2 linked regions of the Zea mays genome follow. The protein of the gene in region 2 interacts with the protein of the main gene of each other region in a pairwise test. Links are inferred from orthologs where the notes say so. Each region holds a gene or a part of one and is shown on either strand. Other genes may lie near its edges. The genes, in order: ABA response element binding factor and regulatory protein viviparous-1.

Region 1 (11,975 bases), on a different chromosome or scaffold from region 2:
ATTTATTTTTATTCTCTGTTTTATTATTTTTGCTTTTTTATGTTTTTCTCCTTTTATTTTTTTTTCTTTAGATTTTCCTAATTTCGTCTTGTGTTTTCTTTCTTTCTTATTTTACTTTTATTAACTATTTCCTACCAAAACTAAATCAGTTCTGACTTTTAATGGATTTATGTAATATTTAGCGTATATATTTTATATATGTCCACATCCATCATTATCTAGTTAAATATAGGTATAAAAAATAAAACAAATATTATTTTGGAATAGAGGTATTATTGTTTTCTTTTCCGAAGGAAGTGAATGCTGGTGGCCCACATTAACTCTCGAGGTGCATGTGAGTTTCTATCATATTTACTTTTTTATTTTATTTTTCTATTTTATGGATGTCGTTATTTTATTTCCCTTTTGTATTTTTATTTTAGCTATAAATGAAGATTTCATTAATAAATTGTTGCACGGTAATTTTTCGTTATATTTTTTTTCTACCAATAAAGAAACACAGCAGTAGCTTTTACATTTATCCTACTCTGCAGTCTGTAGGACGGCAACGTGGGCCAAATCACTTGAGCCGACTACCTTTCAACTGCGGACAACAATGTGGGCCAAAAAATCATTTGAGGCACCCATATAAATGCCAAACAAAAAAAAGAACTACCCTCAGATAAAGGATGTGTTTATTCCCCTCCTAAATTATATAAGTTGAATTATTCTATAAGGATAGTAGAGTAAAATGTTATTTTGAGACTAAAAAAATAACATAAGGTAGCATTGGATAGCTTATTCAACTTATTAGTCTCAAAGTAATATTTTACCTTTCTACTCTACTACCATAATACAACTTAATCTACGATGGAAGGACATTAGCATTTTTTTACGTCGCATGGACTGTAAATGGTGTGTTTCCTCTGGCCCAAACACTAGACCTTTCAAGTTTCTGTTTCCCGGTTGCCGTTTACTTGCTTGTTTTCTTGCTTCTAAGGCCCTCTTTAGGAGGGCTTCATTTCATTATAAGAATTGCATCTTCGGTTTTCTAACTTTATCGTGAAACGGCTTCAACAGATTAAAATGTTTGGTTTGTACATAGGCTTCAACTTCTGTAATACAATTAATTTATATGAGTTTACTTAATTACCCTTGATGATTAACGGGTGAAGAAAGAGACATGAATCGATAGGTCATGTAACCAATGATATGGTGACTATTTTTTTGTTCAACTTCATGAAGAGTGTTTTTGAAACACCCTTCCCTTCGAGGAGCTTAAAAAATTTCATGAAATTAGCCTCTAATTTCAGCTTTTCTTAGCCTCTAGTTTCAGTTTTTTTTTAACTAGAGCTTATAGAGCTAGATCTGTTTAAGTAGAAAAAGCTGAAATATACATGGAATTCTTAAAGTGAAGCTCTACCAAACAACATTCGGTTGCTGGTAGCCTCCGAATCCAACCATTTGCATCGCACGAGAATACCAGAATCAAATGCACGATATACACAGACATAGGACTCAGTATGGCCCATGTCAAATAAACATGGACGAAAACACATAGCTTTGTGTTGAGTTGCTATCTTAAAGACAGCTGGTTTATTGTTTGTACAACCCAAGGCTTATGAACAATAGCAGGCCAACGCGGAAGCTCTTGCCCATATATCTATTAGTCCCTCAGAGACGTATGCGTCAATCACATCGCGTACTGTTACCAATGGTTCTGGTACCGACAGGTACAGCACTTTCCATGGAAGCAAGCAAGCAAGCGCCAATCGAACTGGAACTGCACAACGCGAGTCTCACTCGTCACAAGTTCACCACATGGCGCTGCCCCACCGGCGCAGTCCGGGACCGACCTTCTTGGCGCTCACATTCTCCCTTGCCTGCTCCATCATCTTCTCCACCAGCTGAAACAGACACAAAAAGCCATGGCAGGGTTGCCTTCAGGACACTGTCTTGTCTTGACAGAGCATATCGACTGTTACACTGACAACTAGCAAATGACCGGTACTCCGTAAAAGGAAGCGATTGAGTGAAACTTGTTACTGTACCATCTTTTTCTTCGACAGCAGAATCGTCCTCTGCAAAACAAAAACGCAACACGGACGTCGTGTTTGATCAGATCAATGCATAGTAGTATACTAGATATGAATAAGGAGATGGTGTCATGACGAACAAATGCTTCGCCTTCCCAGTACCTCCTCTGCTCTGAGGCGCTCGTTCTCCTCCTTGAGATGGTTCAGCTCAGCCTCAAGCTCCACGGTATACGCCTGCACCAGCATCGGCATCATTCCAGGAGCAGACCGAGACCGAGTCTGTCAATGACACGCGCAATACGCAAAGAGCACGAAAGTCGACGAGGACAGCTCGCACACCTGCTTCCGGGCGCGTGACCGGGCCGCGGACTCGCGGTTCTTGATCATGCGGCGCTGCCGTCGCTCCACGGTCTTCTCGGTGCACCCGTCCTCGGGGAAGTCGCGCTTCCGCGCGCCGCCGCCGCCGTTGCGGACCACCCCTCCGTTGCCAATGCAGTTCATCATCTCCGCCTGCGTCATGGCGCTCATCCCGTCCGACGACCCCGGGCTGGCGGCGGCCGCCACGCACTGAGACGGCGGCGGGGGCGGCACCACCGCCACGCCCCCGGGGTACCCGCCGCCGTGGTACCCCATGCCGTCGCCCATCACCGGGTATACAGCGCCGGGCGGCGGCGCCGCCGCTGCCGCCACCTGGTACATCATGGGAGGAGCCGCGTTGTGCTGCATGCCCATCGGGCCGGCCGGGACCATGCCGACGCCGTGGCCGTGGCCGGCGAAGGCGCCCCGCACGACGCCGGCCTTCACGAGGAAGTCCTCCAGCGTCATCTCGCCCAGCGTCGCCTGCCGCCCGCTGGCCGCGACGCCGCCGCCGCTCGCCGCCTGGGGCTGCGCCACGGGCTGCGGCGCCGCGCTGGCCTGGAAGTCCGCCGGGCCCTGGCTGATCTCGGCCCAGACCTCCTCCACCGTCTTCCGGGACAGCGGCGGCGGCAGCGCGAACGAACCCTGCCGAACCAGTCCCCTCCCACTTCCTCCTCCTCCTCCGTTCTCACCTGTGCCCGTCGTCGTCGCCACGGGCACCGGCTCACGCTCCGCGCCCTCCTTGTTGCAGCCGGCTGTGGCGGCCTGGAACTCCTCGGCGTTCCATATGTTGGCCATGAACTCGTCCATGTTCATGGATCCGAAGTTGCGGCCCGGCTCGCACAGCGAGTTCTGCAGCTCCTCCAGCGTCAGCGACATAATGGACGACTGCCGCGCCAGCGGGTCCACCGCCTGCTGTTGCTGCTGCTGCTCCTCGGCAGCGTCGCTGGTCTGGGCGCGTGAGTGCTGCGAGGTGACCTCCTGCTCGTCGAGGGCCTTCACGTTTTTGCTCATCTCGGACGCCATCTCTCAGTCGACCTATGAGACTGGCTCCTTTTAGGACACTCTCTGCTGATGCGTTGTTGAACGCGACGCGTGCTTATAGCCTGCATGCGAAAGCCAGGCGTGGTGATCAGAAAACATTGGTGCATGCATCGAGAAAACCCAGGTGCGGTGCCGGGTAGGGGCTTCATCGTCATCAATAACAAACAGCCAGTCCAAATTACGCGCGCAGCCGCAGTTTGCTGCGCTTCGGTCAGGCTCTGATGACTGATCGGCATCGTCTCTAGCATGCGTGGATAGACGCTTCCTCTGTTTGGATCTTTGTTCAGAAGTGAATTACCAGCAGCTTCTTGCAGAGGATCTTCTGCGCTCTCCGGCGTCGCATGTTGCGCAGAGGCCAGAGCGCAGTACTTATCCTGACAGAATAATCTACGCACCCCAGTGCAGGACCCTGACGAACATTCAGCACGTGCTTGTTGTCGACTTCTCCACCGCCGCACGAGATCAGATAGATACAGGGAGCGGTGTTGTTACACAAAAGAGTATACGACGAAACCTCGGGCTCCTTTTCCCCGGTTCTGTTATGTATTAATTATTTTTTTATATACCAGTGAGCTCGGCGTGCTCTGTTCCGTTGCCTGGCAGAGGCCAAAATTAGCGCGTGTGAGTGTGACGTTGCTCTCCGGCCGTTTCCTAAACGGGACAGGTCACTGCTGATGGACCGCGAGGAGGCGTGACCATCTGAACCGGGTTTCCTACGGCTTCCCGACGAGCACGAGCACGCTGTTGACATCTAGCTCGGCTGCAGCCAAGACACCTCAGTGTATGTTACCGACGTAGCGTGATCGTCTACTCCTATTCATTCAAACTCGAATGGCGCGTCCGGCGTGCCTCGCGGAATTTGTATCTGCATGACGTACTTGTCCGGGTACAGTGTAGAAGGGTGTTTGGTTTGCCTTGTTTGTTTATTGCCAATACATTTGGATTAAATAAGATTGAAATAAAATAACAAAATTTTTGATTTGTTTGGGATTTAAATCCAAACGTTCTCACTCAATCTATATATAGATTGAGAATTGAGAGCGAACCGAACATAAAATGAGTGGTTTACTAGCATTAAATATAGTTTAATTATAAAATTAATTATACAGCTAAATAATAAAATATAAAATGAATTTATTAAAACCAAATAATTGATAATCAAACATTATTATTTAAGCATTTGATGTGATACGAACTAAACTAAAAACTAAATTTTAGTCGCAAAACCGTACATGCTCTCAAAAGAGCATGCCCTCTAAAAATAACATGTAGCCACAAGCCTGTTTGGATTTTCAAGTTTAGCTAAAAGTATAGTGCTAAAATTTAGTACCATGCTCCAAAAGATCCGTTGTACTTGGGGCGCTTCATCGCGAAAGTGTATGCCAATTGTTGCGGGTACATGGTACTACTTTTATCAGGGCTGGACTGTTAAGGCTTATTCCAACAATTCCTTCTCTCATCGCACTCTATTTATACTTTCTATTCATTTTCAAATACACCATACTCTTTGGTTCTTTCCCCTCTCTATTAGGGCTGGACATTTTTAAATAGATTTAGGTTTGTTTCTAAATAATTGAAACTGTGCAAAAAAAAATATTAAAAAAATATGCTGTAGTAACATTAATGTTGTTATATCCTAGTCCTCCGTGACAACATGATTGCATCAGGTGACATATTCAGAATGCTCTGCTTTTAAATCACTCTTTGCTTTGCTCTGTTGGTATCTGACCATTGCAGTTGCAGCTGGCGTTACTAAAAGACTGGCGACGCATACTAACTTCTTGGATCTACATCTACTTCAACTCCGTGAACGACAGGCATCGGTGCTGAATACGAGCAGAGTTTCACAAATCACCTTTTATATCCTAGATGTGGAATGCTCAACTACTTCGAAATCTATGCAGACAACAGACACATTGCAGCACCTCCTGTATGATTCGGCATGCAAGATTTGTTGTCTCTATACACTGCGAAACCATGTGTTCCATCTCTCTGTAATTACAACGAGGCGATTGCTACAGCTAGCGCCAAATATTCATCTACACAACCGAGTTAATAACGAAATACTAGTATTTTTTTTTTACCATTTTCATCAGATTTATTCTGTATGTGTGCTCTGGATTTCATGCATGATGTTTGCATTCAGTAGCAACAAAAAAACAGTCACGAAAGGCAATACTGTATTACCAAACAAGGGGCGTGGCAAAGCCGCGCAGAGTAGGGTTCTAGTCATCTAGTGCTGTGGTCACGGATTGCGCGGCGAACAGTATTACCAGACCACAGGCAAACACCTCGCATTTCTAACTGAAAACCCCAAACAAAACGAGCAGAGATGTCTGCATATGCTGAAACGGAGGTGGAGAGCGAAGGCGAGGCGAGGCGAGGCGACGCGGTGCGTACCTCCTCAGGCGCCGCGGAAGCCGGAAGGGAGCCGCCCGCCTCCAGGCGGCCGCGTGCGTCCGGGTCCGGCAGCCGCGATGCGCAAGCGGGCCAAGCTTTGCTATCGACCCGCGGCGACGAAGTGATAGCAACGACGAGCCGCTGAAGCGAAGCGACCGAGTTGGTAGACGGGGAGCGAGACCTGCCGCGTGGTCGCGCGCGGGCATATGTTGTGGGCCGGGGCTGGATGCGGCGCCGAAACGGAGGTAATTAGCTAGTAGAGTAGTGATGTGCCGTGCGCTTCCATTCCGCCATTACTTATAGGCTTGGACGCGTTGGTGGGACTGGGAGAGACGACGACGCCCCCTGTCGTTTGGACGTGTCGGGCTCGTCGGCACGTTGCCTTTCCACCGCCAGCAGCGATAGCTATCCTTTCCTTTCCTTCCGCGGAAGGGAAGGGAGTCACACAGCCTCAGAGGGAGGGGGAGGGGCGATGGGCTCCGAGTTCCGAGGAGCCGCTACGGGCCCACCGCTCAGCTGCTGCATGCTGCTTGCTTCCGCCTCGGGGTTTTGTTTTTTGTCAGACCTGCTGCCCATGCATCCAGCAGGCGCAGCCGACGCCCGCAGTCTGCCGCGCGTTATCTCCTTGCTTTTGCAGCCGATGCCCGCAGTCGGCCGAGCCGAGTTGCGCGCCACCGGTGGCAGCTGTGGTGCCACTGCTTCGGGCACCCGCGCCGGTGCACACCGGATGAACGTTTGCAGTCTGCATGTCCGATCCGCGCCAACTTTAGGATCGGTTAAAGATTTTAACAAAGGTTAATGTAAAATCCTCACCACCTTTTTTCTACGTATCAATGCCAGCCTTGTCCCAGCTGCATGTATACGCCGGTCATTACATACGTGTTACCGTGTACTACCTGTTTACGTATTTAGTAGTAAGTATTTTGCAGATAGAGGTACTCTTGTCACGGTTTCAGCACTGAAAGCAAGCAAAGGCTCACGGTTCCAGGATAAGGCCCCAACAGTGCAGCATTGTAAAAGTGAGTTTGCAAAAGAATTACATCTGATCACGCTTAGAGCTAAAGGAAGATTCGATTCGGTAATACCTGAATAGCTTCAACACTGGCAGTAGATCCAGCCAATTTTATCCTTTTATATTTTTTTGTAATTTTCTTTCCTGTATAATTCTAATCCGGTCGTTTTTAAAGTTTTAACAAATTTTTCAGTAGGGGCTTGCCCCTCCTGTTCAATAAAAAAAGGCTCACGGTTTCAGCCGCGGTCGTCTCCTGCGGGTATTATGTCGGCGTGGAGAAGACAAGACATGCATGCATGCGTGCCGGGTGGTCGTAGGAAATAAGACCCGGGCCAAAAACGTACAGGCCGCCAGAGATGGACACGTGCAGGATACGTGCCGTGCCGTGACGTGACGGTGATCCCCCCACCCCGTGCCTGCACCCTGCAGTCGCCGGTCCAATCTCCGTTGTTCAGTGCAATCAATGGCTTTTGCCTGAGCCTCCGCTGTCCGCGCGCCTCCACTGCTCCACATCTACTGGCCCCGCGTCGCTTGGAGCTTTCCACCAAACGCCATTTGCAAATTTACGAGCCGCGCCGATTGGCACGCCTGGAATGACTGCAGGGAAGGTTTTAGCATTAGCCATTGCACGAGGTGAGGCGAGGACGTGTTTGTCTGAGGGGGAGAATTCACTACTAGCTGTTATTAAAACTGATTATGATGGTTTCTTTGTTGCTATTAAAGATTAGACCAACTCTATTAATGGCTGGCTGCGGATCCGTATCCTATAGAGTGACAGACAACGATACGGAGTTGCACAGTAGCCCATAAAGCTCTATAAACGGCTTCGTAAAGCGGTGTAAGCAAGGCGTCGGCTGGGTTGCGTAGATAAGAGAGAATACACGATAAAAGGGAGCCCACCTCCGTCCCGTTTTTTCTGTCGCTGGATACGACGACTGCTGGGGAACTCAACAGTGTGAAAACACGTAAATTTTACGGATGCACGCCCGTACACGGGCATACGGCTCCTGCTAGAGTCTTACAATCTTCTTTGGCTGATATCAATTTATAGTTTTACTAGGTCTGTACCCGTGCGTTGTCACGAGAATAAAAAATTAGTATGAAACATAGATACAAAACCACAAACCTCACTATAATATGTAAATTCGTGATGCAAAATATCACCACAGCACTAACATTATATTGACAATATAAATATGTAATACTATTATAAATACACATGCCCAAATAAATTGAACTGATGTCGAACAAATATTATCAATATCGCACAAATTATTTCAAAAGAGTCAATATAAAATTCTTAATGATAGGCAAATATCATCAGAAGATTCACTTCCATGGTTGAACCTGGAGGATAAATTTGACCTCGGTGTGCTAGCCTTCCACCTCGTGCATTCCACGTTGTACCTCTTCATCATTAAGAATACATTGATAATATATTGATAATGTACATTGATATAAAAACACTAATTATTTGTGATAGCATTCCAGACAGCCTTATCGCATAAAAAAGACAACCATTTTCTGCATAATGTACAAGGTTGACTCAATGATGAAGAGATAAGCTGCTGAGAAACTTGCAGGTGACAACTCAGATAAGAAATTATGCATGGTACATAAAAATATGTTAGGAAACTATAACGATAAGGCACTACCCATTATTTAAGTGTTGCAAAATACCTCTACTCACTTGAACAATAGTTTAGCCTGTTTAATAGCTGACTCGAATAAAAGGCTATGCATACATTCACATTCTCTGGATCATTCATTATCTTTTTTATTGTCATGGACCACATATAATCTGAATAACATAGCTGCAGCATTCTCCTTGGCCTTTGTCATCCAACCATTCTTCAACATTAATGGTAAGATGCAGACAATCCACTTGTTCCATGGTTTGTGTCTTGTTTGGCTCATAGATCGATAGATTGAGCAGTGGGATCACTGTTTTCTCCTGCGCCACCCAACCCGATAACAGCAGCAACTAAAAAGGCATGTCATTGTTGTGATATCATGCATTCACAACAATTAGAATGGTAAATTCACTATGCATCAATAAAGTTCAGTAACAATTAAAACCCCTTAAGTTCAGTGACAACCATTGTTCAAGTGTGCCTAGAACCATCTGCTTTCCAACCTATGAGATTGTTAAAATCTCTTGAAGTTAAGTGAAAACAACAACATACCAAAATATGAAAAATAACTCCTTTATAGGTATGTGAAAGCATAATGTAGATATCAAATCTACATTTGTGATGGAGCAACTGAACAATGAAGCTCAACACAAACATTTAAAGAATGTCATTAATTTTGCACCATGGTTGTAAGGGTAGAATACTCTGACAAGTGCAAGAATGAATATAAAGGTTATGCTGAAGAGGTGCCACATAAAAGATTGTTAGGTATATTTTTTTAATCGAAACAATGAGTTGGAGGAATAATCTATCCCTACAAAATATTATAAATAGAGAGAAAATAGCCACAAGTCGTGTCCAGTCCTATCTACGAAAGAGAAAAAAACTTAAGGTCCAGCCAACTGTTTCCATGGATAAGATATATTGTCAATAGACCAATAGAATTACCACTTATATAATTAATATTATTAATACAAATATTTCCATTGGTCTATTTGTACTTTGGAGTGATTCATGTTTGCCTTGCCCCATCTGTCCTTGCGCCATGTTTATGGACACGGAGTGCACTAACTGGTTGTACTGGAAAATAAAATTTAGACAATAGGGAGTACTCATGTGAGGTCCTAGATTTTTGTACTTCTAACAATGCCATATCACAGTTACTAAGCATGATAGCATGGTGAACATATATTTTTAGTAGAGCTCAGAACGTTTTCATTCAGTCCACACAACATAGCTGAACATATACGTATGGGTAAAGCTCCGTCCCGGACGGCTGGTTATTATGCAAATAATTTGAGCTCGCAAGAGTAAATTTACAAAAACATAGGATTCGATGTTCTGAAATTTACATGAGACAAAACAAAAACAATGATTGGGTGAATATTAGAATCCAAAAAAGAGACAATAGTTTTGAGAAAGAGAGAGCGCAGACACTGGATTTGTCGATTGGATTAGCTATACAGAGGGGAAGGCTGTGTGTGCAGTGTGCAGTGATCGCCTCTAGAATCTGCATTCTATAAGGCAAGAAGATAAAAGTCACATGACAAGAGTTGTTGAGCCGTGCATTTGAGTTTTTTCTCCTCTGTACACCCCTATCACACACACAACACACTCCTACTCTCTCTTTTCATCAAAAGGAATGCTAGAAAGATAGGTAAAAAAATTCATGGCATACTATGTACCGATATTGCATTCTTGCTAAAAAATTACTAACATGTGGATGCTAAATAGTAGACTTTGTGTAACTAAAAATTCAACAGCACCTCTGATCACGGGCCCTCCGCATGAGTCAGTACAAAATAGTATAAGTTGTGCTACAACCTATAGTACCTTGCAAACAACGAAAGCCTGAACCTTTGTTTAAGTGAAACTTGCTAGCCTGGGGATTACAGAACAAAAATGTTTTACCCACAACCATCAGCTTCTGGCGTAGCTGCAAAACATCCATTAATTCTGGCAATCAGTTTACATCACTCACATAAAATATTTTCACAGAAATAGGATATAGAAAGAAACTGAAAGACAGAACCAACTTAGCACTACCGCACATGTGTCTCGACGCTAGACAGATGTAGTTGATATTCGAGATCAAATCACATCCTTCCTCATCTCGACCTTCCTTCGGTTAGTGACTTGGTGCCGAATCTTAGGTTTTTGTGGACTGTCAGATCGCCTACACGGCAGTAGCCATGGGAGGTTGACCGTATTCCCTAATTCTGTTTGGAGCTAGGGCAGGGGAGGTCCCTCCTTACACACTTGCCAGTCAGGGAGACACAGAGGCAAGAAGCACCTGGAGCCACCACGACTGAACAGTGGGAGGCGTGGTCGCGTGCTCGCTGGCCGAAGAAGCGTGGAGGCTGCAAGTGCCTGGAGCCATGACGTGCTTGCCGGTCAGGGAGGCGGTGCGGACGCACGACGTGCTTGTCGATCAGAGGCGTCGCATGAGAAGTGGATCCAAGGGCGCATCGCGGGAGGTAGCGATTGCGATGCCGAGGAGCTGCAAAAGCGTAGGCGCAGGGCGACGGCTCTACGAAAAGGGCGATGCGGCGGGGCTGGACTCCATCTCCATCTCCTCGTCGATGAGGTCTCGGGGGATCTTGGTGGAAGGCAAGCGACCGGGCTAGCTTAACTGCTTGGCTCTTGTTCCTCCTTTGCTTTCCCCTCCCCCATGACGGAGAGAGCAGGCTCCGATGCCGACGAGGATGGGGCCAGAGGGGGAGTCATCGAGGACGAGGGAGGGGGTGCGGCGAGGGTCGTTGGGCGAGGGCGGGCGTGGAGCGGGACGCCGAGAACGACCGAGGATGATGCGGCGGACAAGGGCTGTGGGGAGAGCGGAACGCGCGGCGGAGGCGACGAGAACATCCGAGAACGGGGGGAGGAGGGAGGATGAGAGTGGAGGAAGAGGCCAAGGACATGGGGGAGAAAACCGCGGTCGCGATGGGCGTCGGCATCTCCCGGGCCGGGGGCCAATCGTGGGCGAGGGAGAGCTGTAGTGGCATGGTGCTCCTAGATCCGAATTCCCTCGGTGGCAAGAGAGGGAGTCAGTGGCGGTGGAGGGTCAGGGGCCGAGATGGGCCGACGGCGAGCGGGGAGGGGCGTAAACCTCATGCGATAGGGGAGACGAAGAGATGGGAGCAGATCTCGCGGGGGTTGGTTGTGGTCTTGTGGAGAGGGTAGGATGCGTGCGCGTTGGAGTGCGGAGATCGAACGACGCAAGCGAGCAAATGGGCAATCGTATGGTCGAGAGTGAACAGAACATGTGAGAGGGCAGAACCATGGTGCACAGATGGTCTACATTAGAGTCTTATAAAGTAGTAGAGATATCACATTCTTTCTTTCCATCATCGTTAACGGCATGCAGCCACATTCTGTTATCCCTCAATTTCTTGCATGCCACACCGATCTCCAAGCCAGAAGCATGTATCCGCCGTAGAATAGATGACAGCAACATAAAAACGATTGGAGCATGGTAGGTAATGCTAAAGCAACGTATCAGTTGATTGGTTCACA
Region 2 (12,127 bases):
AATAAATCTAAGGAAGCTTGTCGATCGACCGCGGCGGCGGGCGGCACATGGCGGCCGGAGAGAGCTCCGTCGACCAATCGGCACAGGGGATGTATACTAGTTTAACATATCGTTCCCCGGCGGAACCGAGCGCGCCATCACGTCATGTTTCCAACGCCAGCGCCGCACATGGCGACGAACGGACAGCCTGGCGCGCGGGGCTGCTGGCCACGGGTGTGGATCCACTCCATCCGTCGAGCCCGGTCGCCGGCTCGCCGCAGCGAACGAAGTCCCGGCCATGCATGCCCCGTCGTCGTCCATTGTCCTGTCCAGATGAGGAATCTAGGGGCGCATCAGGAATCAACCAGCAGGTTAGGTGCCGTGCGTGATGCAGATGCAGCATGTGTGGCCTTCCTTTCCTTCCTGTTTATACACATAAATAATTTTAGGAAAGAACCACCCACCTTTTTTTTCTGCATATATACACACGCATGGTGGTCGTTTCTGTTCATCGCTTATCACCACTGTGCTTCGTTCCATCAGCATTGTTTATATATAATAATAAAAAAGCAACCACCATGCACGCTTTGTTCGGAAAAAAAAAAGCAACCCATGCTTGCAACAAAGTTGGGTGCGCGGTTAGTTAATTGGCTTTCAAAATATGATTGCTAAGTCAAGCCAAGCATTTGACAAGCTATGGTTTTAGCTATCATTTGGTTTGTTACAGAACTTGTCAACCTCTCACATTTGGCTTGCCAAATCCATAACAGATTTTTTTTAATCTGGCTTTGGCTTGGCATGCATGACAAATTTTGGTTCATACTATCATTCCGTTTGACAAATCTTGGTTCGTGACTATTATTATTTGGTTTGCTACCAAAATCTCTCAACCTCTCATATTTGCCTGTGGCTTGACAAATGTATAACGATTATTTTTTATCGGATTTTGTCTTCCTAAATCTTTGGTATGACAAATTTTGGGCATAAACCAAGCAGGACACCACTATATGCAATGCATGCATCCAGGAAACTACAAAGCATAACATACACGAAGGCATGTGTAGAATGTTCTAGCTTTTGCTGCAGGCTGCAGCTGTCGTCTTGTTAGCCGAATGGCACGTCGCCGACACCAATGGCCGAGAGATCAGGTATGTCCATGCATGTACAGACAGGACTAGTATAGCTAATTAACCACGACATGACACAGCCACGCACGGGCCCAACTCACAAACCAAACCATGCACACAAATTTAGCGTCACACAGCGGGTGGCTCTACTACTCGATTATATTTAATATATCATCTCCTAGCACGCTACATGCTTAGCACACACGACGGAGGTTACCATCGTCATCATCAGTTCAGCTGTTTCGAGCTATAGCTAGCTAATAGTAACTTGGAGAACTAACGATCGATTGGTCGATCGATCAATATATGGCGGAGTCTGCTGCTCTTTCAGATGCTCACCGCCATCTGGCTCATGGCGCCGGCTCCCTGCTGCCGAACCCGCCGCACGCCTTCCGGAGACCTCCCCTTGCAGGCGCCGCTGACCCCGTCGACGACGGCGTCTTCAGGAGCACCGGCGGCTGCGGCTCTCCCTGGACCTGCTGGACAGAGGGGCCTGTGCTTGCCTCCCCCGCTGGAACCACTGCCTTGCTCTTGCGCCGGCGGGGGCCTTACCTTCACGCCCCGTATCAGCTGTGGATATATATAGGACACAAGGGGGGTTTCAGGGTTCTTGATGAGTTGCTGCTGAAGTAAACCAATTCCATGAACAGCGAGATCAAAAGATGCCACTATGTCCTTGATTGCCATCCAGGCATCCACATACAAACAGTGGCATGCAAAACGGTTGCGTAGATTTGGATTGCAGTTTCAAGGACGACAACACGTTTGAGTTGACTAATGATGCAGGCATATGGACCAGAAAAACGAGCATTATGTAGCAAGGAAATAGTCGGCAATAGAAGAACATACATATTTGCCCGACTTGACATCGGAGTAGATCACTATGAAATCCCCCTCCTGAAGCTCGTTGGAACGAACAAATTCCCCTGCAGGTTGAGAAAGAAAAACAGGAAAAAAAGATCAGACAGACCATAACGACGAAGAATCGTTGTCAAGGTCGGATGGATGGAAATCATAACGTTAAGATCCTCTCACCTGTGTTCTCCAGCAGATACATTCTGCTCTTGTTGTTGGGCCAAAACCTGCGTGCATGCAATAAGGAGCTCAGCTGATGAAAGCACTGACATTGCACTGGTAACAGTCGATACTATACCGTATATATGAATAATAATTTTAGTTTTCAGCAAGGTAATCCAGTTTTGGAAAAAAAACATCACCAGATCATATGAGAATCCAAAAAAACAGTTACCTCATTTTCATAGAACCTGCACTACTGGAACAAGTTGTTATTATTATTTTCGCAACTCGAATTACTAAAGATTAATAAACTTCATTAGTATGAGAAAGCCAAACCAGAAGAAAGAGCCACAAGACGACGACGAAGAAGAAAAAACGCGACTATGGCTGCTGCACAAAGATGTGCACCTAGCTGCCAAACACTAGTACAAAGAAGCTCTATAGTGGCGGTTTAAAGCTATTTGCACTGGCGTTTTTTAGTGTCGTCAGTGCTAGGGGTCAGTTGTTTATTCGAATTCTACTGGCCCCTAGCACTGGCGTCACTGAAAAACGCCAGTGAAAATAGCTCTAGGAACATCACTATAGAGCTTCGCTGTACTAACGAGAGATCCGGAGGACTGAGAGACCATGTTTACTGTGGTGTCCTGGACTGAGAGACCATGTTTACTGTGGTGTCCTGGCAATCATATTTTGGACCGAACAGAAGATGCCATTTTCAGAACAAATATCACCTGACCTGGTGGTAGTGGTATGTTATATATCAGGCTTATCAGCAAGTTGGAGAAGATGCATGTTTATTGCGTGCAGAATTCCGTGTAGACGAGTGCATGCCACTATTTGCTCCTCGGATTCTCATCGTACACTATATTCATATGACCCACTTGCCAAATTGGGAAAGAAAGGGACCATGCCACAGATGTCGTACTCATGCCATTTACTATCTCTGGCCCAGTGGTTAGTGGTATACTACCTATATATCTCTCCCTGCCCCCAGTAGACGACCATGCACGAACTGCAGGCAGCAGCTCTCAATCAATCAATCAAACAAACAAAGGAAAAGGAGAAGGAGAAGAAACAGATTCGAGGAAAACAGCAGCCAGCAACTGGATTTAATTTATGGATGCTCGACGTCTGTCCCTAGACCAATGATGACACACACACTCACCTGTACCGCATGTTCCACACGCGCGACGTTCCGATGTCCTCCATGGGGATGGAGATGCCATCCCTCGTCTTCAGCTCCGGCAGGTGAACCTCCGCTTCCTTCTGAATCGTCCAAAAACAAGACAAGGCGACGATTTTTAGTTGAGATGCCAAACCAACCACGGCCCAGTTCAGTTTAAAAAAGGCAAGGCGGTTTTGAAGAACAGATTCAGGGGCAGTTTGCGAGCTTTGGTATATATGCGTAGATCTATATATATGACCTATCCATGGCCGATTTTAGTTAGTTCAAGAACAGAAAGTGACCAAACTGATGCAACAGGCATGCATGCACGCGCAATGCAAGCTAAGGGCATGTTTGGTTTCAATTAGTTCTAGGACTAAACTTTAGTCCTAGGACTAAACTTTAGTCCCTATATGTTTGGTTCTAGGGACTAAATAGATTCTAAAGTCATTAAATACATTGTCCAAAGACTCAAATACCCTTAGAATATACTCATGATATTAGTTATCTATAAAAAGGTAAGGGCAACATGATAATTATGAGCTTTTAATTCTACTGGCAATCATTTTAGTCCATATTTTAGTCCTAGTGTTTGGCAAAAAAGGGACTAAAAGGGACTAAAAACTAGAGACTAATCTTTAGTCCCTCTAACCAAACACCCCCTAAGTAGATAGATCTATATGCGCAAGTGGGGGGTATAGATATGATGCAGATCATGAAGGGCCGGCCGGCGTCTGTCTCACTTTGGGGAGCACGATGCGGCCGAGGCTCCCGACGTCGCTCTGCTTCAGCACCTTCTGCAGCAGGAACCGCAGGTTCTTGTCCGCCTTGGCGCCCTGCAATCCCACACACATGTTCGTCCATCAGAACCATATACGCGTGAGTGAACACCCGAGGAGCACACGCATCGAACCCGTACGCGAGCGAGCGTACGGCACACGCGCACGTCGATTCTATTGCTCGACAGCGATGTGCGTCTCTCTCTATTCGGAGCAAACGCAAGAACACAGATTGGTATAGATCTCGTGCTGGCTAGCGATGCCAAGCTACGCATGCATGCACCTGCCGCTTATCTGAAGCCGCTGCGAGGCGGTGGTGAATGTCGTCCTGCCGAGCACCAGCAGGCGCGGGCTTTGTCTGTGGCGCCACCGCCGCCGCTTCCAGCGAGGGAGGCGGCGCCCTTGATGAATTGGACTTGGAGAGCGGGTTCTGGACCTGCTGCTGGCTGCTCGGCGACCAGAATCCCCAGCCGCCTGCTGACGGCGTGACCGGGCCGGAGTGCGTGGACCGAGGGGACGGCTCCTGCAGGTGGACGGAGGCCTGGATCTGGCCCAGGCTCAGCTGCTGGCTGCGCTGCTGCTGCAGGCAGGACAGGCGCCGCTGTCTCGCCATGCGCTTCTTGCGGGCCTCCTTGGTCGCCGAGGCCTCCACGCCTGCCATGCGCTGGGGGGCCACTGAGAGGTGGCCAGCGCCGGCGCCGGCGTACTGCCCGCCGAATCCGGGGGAGAACGGCTGCGGCATAGGGTAAGAGCCCGTGGAAGCCCCAGGCGGTGGGAACGGCACGTACTGCTGCGGCCAGGCCATGTTCGCGCCGTGCATGTCGCCCACAGGCGGCGGGGAGAACGGTTGGCTGTTCACGACCACGCTGCTCGTGCTGGGGCCCTGGTGGAAAGAGTACTGTTGGCCTGCCGCGCTCGGGTACACCGCGTCGCCGCCGTACGCAGCAGGCGGCGTGAATGCCTGCTGGTGGGGCATCCAAGATGTGCCGCCGCCCGCGGCCATGTCCTGTCCGCCGGCGGGGAACTCGTATCCTGGTGGGTTGGCGACCGGGCTGGGGAGCTGGACGTGCAGGCCCGCCTCCTCCTCCATCACGTCGCGCGGGCGCTTCCTCTGGAGGTGGTGGTTCTGCACCCAGGTGAGGATGAGCTTGAGCAGCTGCATGGTGCCCTGGCGCCCGCCGCCGAGCCGGGCGGCGGCGGCCTCGATGGTGGAGCGGCGGAGGCGGATCCCGCGGAGATCCTCGGCCGAGATGTTTTCGCGGTTGCTCGTGAGCCACTCCATGAAGAACCGCGGCAGCTCCTCCCCCTCCGACGCATCCATGCAGGCCTCCTCTCCCCCTGTGGTCCCTTCCGGCACGGCTTTCTCTTCACTCATGCCGTCGCCCACCGGCTGCGGCGGCGCCGACATGGCGTTCTCTAGCATCATGCTAACCCCCGGGAACGGCTCGGAGTCCCACGGCATGGAAAGCGACGCGAAGTCGAGGAGCTGGTCGATGTCATCGAGCGCATCAAACCCTTCTCCGGCCGAAGCAGGCTCGGAGGGCTCGCCGCCGGCTCTTCCTGCCGTGTTGGTGTAGGCGCTGGAGGAGTTTGACGAGGAGTTGGACGAGAAGGTGGAGCTGGACGGCGACGAAAGGCAAGGGAAGTCCGGGAGGGAGGGGAACGTGTCTTCAGCGAACATGAAATCATCCGCCGCCTCCCCTCCGATCTCCTCCGCGGGGGCCCCTCCCATGTCGCCACCGTGCTCCGGCGGGTTCTCTTGGGAGTGCGGTGGCGACGAGCCGGCGGAGGCTTCCATGCAGAGAGACACGACGACAAAGGGAGGAGAGAGACGGTGTCTGTGTCTGCCGCCGCCGCCTCTCGGGTGTAGGTGTGGAGGTGGGTGCAGTTACTGAGGAGACGAACAGTGCAAGCAGGAGGTGGAGAGGGAGAAGAAGAGAGAGAGAGAGGAGGGAACCGAGATGCGGCTGCGTGACACACGTGGCGACCGAGGGGAGCGCTCCACCGCCCACGCCAGCCTCTCCTCGGCCACCATACTTCTCACCCCTGGCGCGCACCCTATACCTCTCTCGGAGACGTGGGGCTGAAGATAATGGACCCACTTTGTCATAGAGGTATCACAAACTATTACTGATTAGGTTTCTCTGTGCATGACCCGTCTATGGCATGGGCCGAGCGATGCTGTCCAACATGTCAGTGTCTGTGTGTTTTCAGGTCTCGCCTCTTCGCCGCGTTCTAATTTGACTGCTCCAGAAACGGAAACGAGAGAGCGCCCATGTTTTTGGTCAGTCAATGAGGCGTGGGCCCCGCGAGCCCGTGCGTGGAGAAAACAGCGTGCGCGTAGCTGCTTCGGCGCCGTAGGATGTCCGTGTCGCCGGCGCGCCGACTGAATCCCGAGTGTTGGGACGATTCCTGACCGTCCGATGCAGTCTCTGCGTGATCCCACGGACGGAAGCTCCAGGATGGTGCCACTGGCTTGTCTACGAAGCAGAGGAGTTTCTCTACGCGCACGCGCGGAACCTACACGGTGTGGGTGATTCGGGGACTTGAAGGCGGGCACGACGACGTGGAAGTGGAACCCTTCTATTTGGGAACTTTGCGTGTAGTATACTTAGATGGGTGGATTGTACTAGTAGTAGGAGTTCCTTTGCAAACTCCTCGGGCTTTTTATTATTAATCTGCGGTCCTCCTCTTACTTCATCTTTGGCTCTATGTACTTATGTTCTTTTAGCATTTTCCCACCTGTGCATTTACAAAAAAAGATGACTGGCGTTCTTAAATATGGTGTCAACCGAATTTTCGGGTCTGCTAGCTATGCCAAAAAGATATTTTGATGACAATATATTTATGGTGGAAGATTAATTTGATAGGTTTCATGTGGTTGTCTTTTGGAAGGTGGCGCAATTAATTTCTCTATGCAAACGTGAGAAACCCACAATTGGACTTTTTTTGGAGGCGTTGGTTCAGGTGGGCCACGGCACATTCTAAATATCACAACAAAGCAGTAAGCTTACTAGTTTAAATTTTGTGTTCTAAACGTTATAGTTTAAACTCTATTTTTTATTTTTACACCCTAAGACGCAACATCCAATATATCCTTACTTTACAGTAATATTTAAAAGATTCTCTCATCCATATCTAATTTCTATTCATCAGTGTCCTCTATATCTCACCATCTATACATAAATACTTATATTAGAGATATATTTTGCTCTAGATTTTTGCACGTACATATTTTTATATCCTTAGGGCTAGTTCGGTAACTTCATTTTTCCAAGAGATTTCCATTTTCCCTAGAAAAAATGAACTAATTTCCTTGGAAAATAGAAATCACTTGAAAAAAGGTTGTCGAACTAGCCTTTACATATCTTAAGTTATTAATCTTTGTTTAAAATATTAAAATGGGGTAGATGGGAGGGCAGATAATATATATAGAGGACGAACGTCCTCTAAATTTAAAGGACATTGTTAGAGTAGATAGGAGAGATAACCTCCCCTATATTTAGCGTACATGAGAGGATATCGGCTACTGCTAGACTCAACCTAAACCCGAGGGTTGAGTTCATCACTACTTTGCATATTTACATTGTTCAAGATTAGGGGTGGCATTTTTAAACTGAAGACTGAACCCAAACCTGAGCAGAACCCAAATAAACTAAATTGTCAGCCTATATTGGGTTTTGGGTTTGGGTTTGGGTTTGATTCCTACATTTGCTATAATTCAGGAGTACATATGTACGGGTTAGGGTTCAGTTTTTGGTCCCAATAGACCGAATAACCCAAAATATAAAGAAACTCTTGACATGTGATGATATTATTATGTGATTTATGAACTTATAAGCTAAAAATTATGATGCCATCTTACGGGCGTGGGAGGGGACCAGAGCCTACACGACAGACACTCCTTAGATGAAGTTGTCGCACCATCCGCGTTGTGTCTGCAGCCGAGAGAGCAGAGCCTCCACGTCTTAATTTCGTCTTGGACACGGTCGGGGAGCTCCTACTCCACAATTGTGGAGATGCAAGGAGCTCGATGGAGAGGAAAGCGAGCGGGTGGGAGGATGAAAGTCGCCTAGAGGGGGTGGATAGGCGGAAACTGAAATTTACAAACTTTAAGCACACTTCAAGCCGAGGTTAGAGTTAGAATAAAATTGAAGTCCGGAAGAGAGGGCGAAAACAAATCAACCAAAAAATAAAGCGGATGACACGGTGATTTGTTTTACCGAGGTTCGGTTCCAAAGAACCTAGTCCCCGTTGAGGTGGTCACAAAGACCGGGTCTCTTTCAACCCTTTCCCTCTCTCAAACAGTCACTTAGACCGAGTGAGCTTTCTCCTTAATCAACCGGGTCACTTAGAACCCGCAAGGACCACCACATAATTGGTGTCTCTTACTTTGATTACAAGTGCTTTGAAGAACAAGAATGGGGAAGAAGAAATCGATCCAAGCACAAGAGCTCAAAGAACACTAGCAAAACTCTCTCTCTAGTCACTAGGTGTTTGGAGTGTATTTGGGACTTAGAGAGGCTTTGATTCTTTTGAATTGTGTCTTGTATTGATTGCACTAGCTCTTGTATTGAATGAGATGTCTGAAAAAACTTGGATGCCTTGAGTGGTGGTGGTTGGGGTATTTATAGCCCCAACCACCAAACCAACCATTGGGGAGGTTGTCTGTCAATGGGCGCACCGGATAGTCCGGTGCGCCAACTACGTCACCCAACCGTTAGGGTTCTGACGGTTTCGACCGTTGGAGCGCTGACTTCATATCGCACTGGACCGTCTGGTGCCGCACCGGACAGCTATTGTCCAGTGGCCGGTGCGTAATGACTCTGCGCTCTGACTCTGACGCGCATTGTTCACGCTTTTGCAGACGACCGTTGCGCTGGATAGTCGTTGCTCCGCTGGTGCACCGGACAGTCTGGTGCCACACCGGACAGTCCGGTGAATTATAGTGGAGCGGCTCTCCAGAAACCCGAAGGTGGCATGTTTGAAGGAGTACGGCCCTGGGCACCGGACAGTCCGGTGCGCCAGACCAGGGTTCTCTTCGGTTTCTTTTGCTCCTTTCTTTTGAACCCTAACTTGATCTTTTTATTGGTTTGTGTTGAACCTTTAGCACCTGTAGAATATATAATCTAGAGCAAACTAGTTAGTCCAATTGTTTGTGTTGGGCATTTCAACCACCAAAATCATTTAGGAAAAGGTTTGACCCTATTTCCCTTTCAATCTCCCCCTTTTTGGTGATTGATGCCAACACAAACCAAAGCAAATGTATAAGTGCAGAATTGAACTAGTTTGCATAAGGCAAGTGCAAAGGTTGCTTGGAATTAAACCAATTTATACTTTCACTAGATATGCATGGATTGCTGTCTTTCTTTTAACACTTTGGACCACATTTGCACCACTTGTTTTGTTTTTGCAAATTCTTTTGGAAAATCTTTTCAAACTCTTTTTGTAAATAGTCAAAGGTACATGAATAAGATTTCAAAAGGCATTTTCAAGATTTGAAATTTCTCCCCCTGTTTCAAATGCTTTTCCTTTGACTTAAACAAAGCTCCCCCTGGATGAAATTCTCCTCTTAGTGTTCAAGAGGGTTTTACCAGTATGAAAAAGATTTAGATACCAATTGAAAAATCCTCTTTAAATACTTTAAGAAATTTTGAAATGTGGTGGTGGTGCGGTCCTTTTGCTTTGGGCTTAATATTTCTCCCCCTTTGGCATTAATCGCCAAAAACGGAGTCTTTTAAGAGCCCTTTAACTTTCTCTCCCAATGGTACAAATAAATATGAGTGAAGATTATACCATAGCGGAGAATGGTGCGGAGTGACGGCGAAGGGTAAATAATACCGATAGAGTGGAGTGGAAGCCTTGTCTTCGCCGAAGACTCCATTTCCCTTTCAATCTATGACTTAGCATATGAATAAACTTAAAAACACATTAGTCATAGACATAAAAGAGATATGATCAAAGGTATATAAATGAGCTATGTGTGCAAAGTATCAATCAAAGTTCCAAGAATCAAGAATGTTTAGCTCATTCCTAAGTTTGGTAAAGGTTTTCTCATCTAATGGTTTGGTAAAGATATCGGCTAGTTTTTCTTTGGTGCTAACATAAGCAATCTCGATTTCCCCCATTTGTTGGTGATCCCTCAAAAAGTGATACTGAATGGCTATGTGCTTACCGCGGATGTGTTCAACGGGATTATCCGCCATACGGATTGCACTCTCATTGTCACATAGGAGAGGGACTTTGCTCAATTTGTAGCCATAGTCTCTGAGGGTTTGCCTCATCCAAAGCAATTGCGCACAATAATGGCCTGCGGTAATTAGGGGTATGCGTTCAGGTTACCCGAAAATTTTGGGTCGGGTATTTCGGGTTTTTAAAATTTCGGGTTTTGAGAATCGATACCCGAAATTACAACGAGTTTTGCAATACCCGAAAATTCGGGTATCCGGAATTTCGAGTTCGGGTATTCCCGAACTACCCGAACTATTATGTCGGCTTCATAAAAACACATACACCTTATTAAATTAGTATAAAAATATAGTTTGAATAATGATATACATGGACATATAAAACACAAGCAATCTACAATCACAAGTTATGCACACTTACACATATAGATGCACAAATTAATAATTAAGCATGACATGAGTACATGACACATGAAAGTTCGGGTATTTCGGGTACCCGATTGTGATACCCGAATTACCCGAAATAAATTTGGGTTTTGCAAGTTGCTACCCGAAATTCCCAAACAAAATTCGGGGTTCGGTATTTCAGGTTCAGGTTCGGGTATTCCGGGTTTGGGTTTCGGGTTACGAGTTTTTTGCCCAGCCCTAGCGGCAATATACTCGGCTTCGGCGGTAGAAAGAGCTACTAAATTTTGTTTCTTTGAAGCCCAAGACACCAGGGATCTCCCTAGAAACTGACAAGTCCCTGATGTGCTCTTCCTATCAATTTTACACCCTGCCCAATCAGCATCTGAATATCCTATTAAATCAAAAGTGGATCCCTTGGGGTACCAAAGACCAAACTTAGGAGTGTAAACTAAATATATCACGATTCTTTTCACGGCCCTAAGGTGAACTTCCTTAGGATCAGCTTGGAACCTTGCACACATGCATACTGAAAGCATAATATCCGGTCGAGATGCACATAAATAGAGTAGAGATCCTATCATTGACCGGTATACCTTTTGCTCTACGGATTTACCTCCCATGTCGAGGTCGAGATGCCCATTGGTTCCCATGGGTGTCTTGATGGGCTTGGCATCCTTCATTCCAAACTTGGTAAGTATGTCTTGAATGTACTTTGTTTTGCTGATGAAGGTGTCCTCTTGGTGTTGCTTCACTTGAAATCCTAAGAAGTACTTCAACTCACCCATCATTGACATCTCGAATTTTTGAATCATTATCCTACTAAACTCTTCACGAGTAGATTTGTTAGTAGACCCAAAAATGATATCATCAACGTAAATTTGGCATACAAACAAATCATTTGCGATGGTTTTAGTAAAGAGTGTAGGATCGGCTTTACCGACTTTGAAGCCATTAGTGATAAGAAAATTTCTTAGGCATTCATACCATGCTCTTGGGGCTTGCTTGAGCCCATAAAGCGCCTTAGAGAGTTTGTAAACATGATTAGGGTACTCACTATCTTCAAAGCCGGGAGGTTGCTCAACATAGACCTCTTCCTTGATTGGTCCATTGAGAAAGGCACTCTTCACGTCCATTTGATAAAGCTTGAAGCCACGGTAAGTAGCATAGGCAAGTAATATGCGAATTGACTCAAGCCTAGCTACGGGTGCATAGGTTTCACCGAAATCCAAACCTTAGACTTGTGAATATCTCTTGGCCACAAGTCGGGCTTTGTTCCTTGTCACCACACCATGCTCATCTTGCTTGTTGCAGAATATCCACTTGGTACCTACACCATTTTGATTAGGACGTGGAACAAGATGCCATACCTCATTCCTTGTGAAGTTGTTGAGCTCCTCTTGCATTGCCAACACCCAATCCGAATCTCTTAGTGCATCCTCTACCCTGTATGGCTTAATAGAGGAA

What was found.
Region 1: the proteins of regulatory protein viviparous-1 (region 2) and ABA response element binding factor interact in a two-hybrid assay, tested with the Arabidopsis thaliana proteins (2 studies listed by BioGRID). The link is inferred for Zea mays from reciprocal best matches to the Arabidopsis thaliana genes ABI3 and ABI5.

The regions. Positions count from the first base shown.
Region 1 is NC_050103.1:173,333,097-173,345,071, forward strand, and holds ABA response element binding factor, read right to left. Parts: upstream 6,088-11,975; 5' UTR 5,817-6,087; intron 3,479-5,816; 5' UTR 3,399-3,478; coding exon 2,355-3,398; intron 2,250-2,354; coding exon 2,178-2,249; intron 2,061-2,177; coding exon 2,031-2,060; intron 1,887-2,030; coding exon 1,794-1,886; 3' UTR 1,430-1,793; downstream 1-1,429. UniProt on the Arabidopsis thaliana protein: Participates in ABA-regulated gene expression during seed development and subsequent vegetative stage by acting as the major mediator of ABA repression of growth.
Region 2 is NC_050098.1:164,986,858-164,998,984, reverse strand, and holds regulatory protein viviparous-1, read right to left. Parts: upstream 6,012-12,127; 5' UTR 5,866-6,011; coding exon 4,351-5,865; intron 4,125-4,350; coding exon 4,032-4,124; intron 3,390-4,031; coding exon of another isoform or gene 3,387-3,389; coding exon 3,289-3,386; intron 2,189-3,288; coding exon 2,142-2,188; intron 2,033-2,141; coding exon 1,956-2,032; intron 1,677-1,955; coding exon 1,434-1,676; 3' UTR 1,039-1,433; downstream 1-1,038. UniProt on the Arabidopsis thaliana protein: Participates in abscisic acid-regulated gene expression during seed development. Regulates the transcription of SGR1 and SGR2 that are involved in leaf and embryo degreening.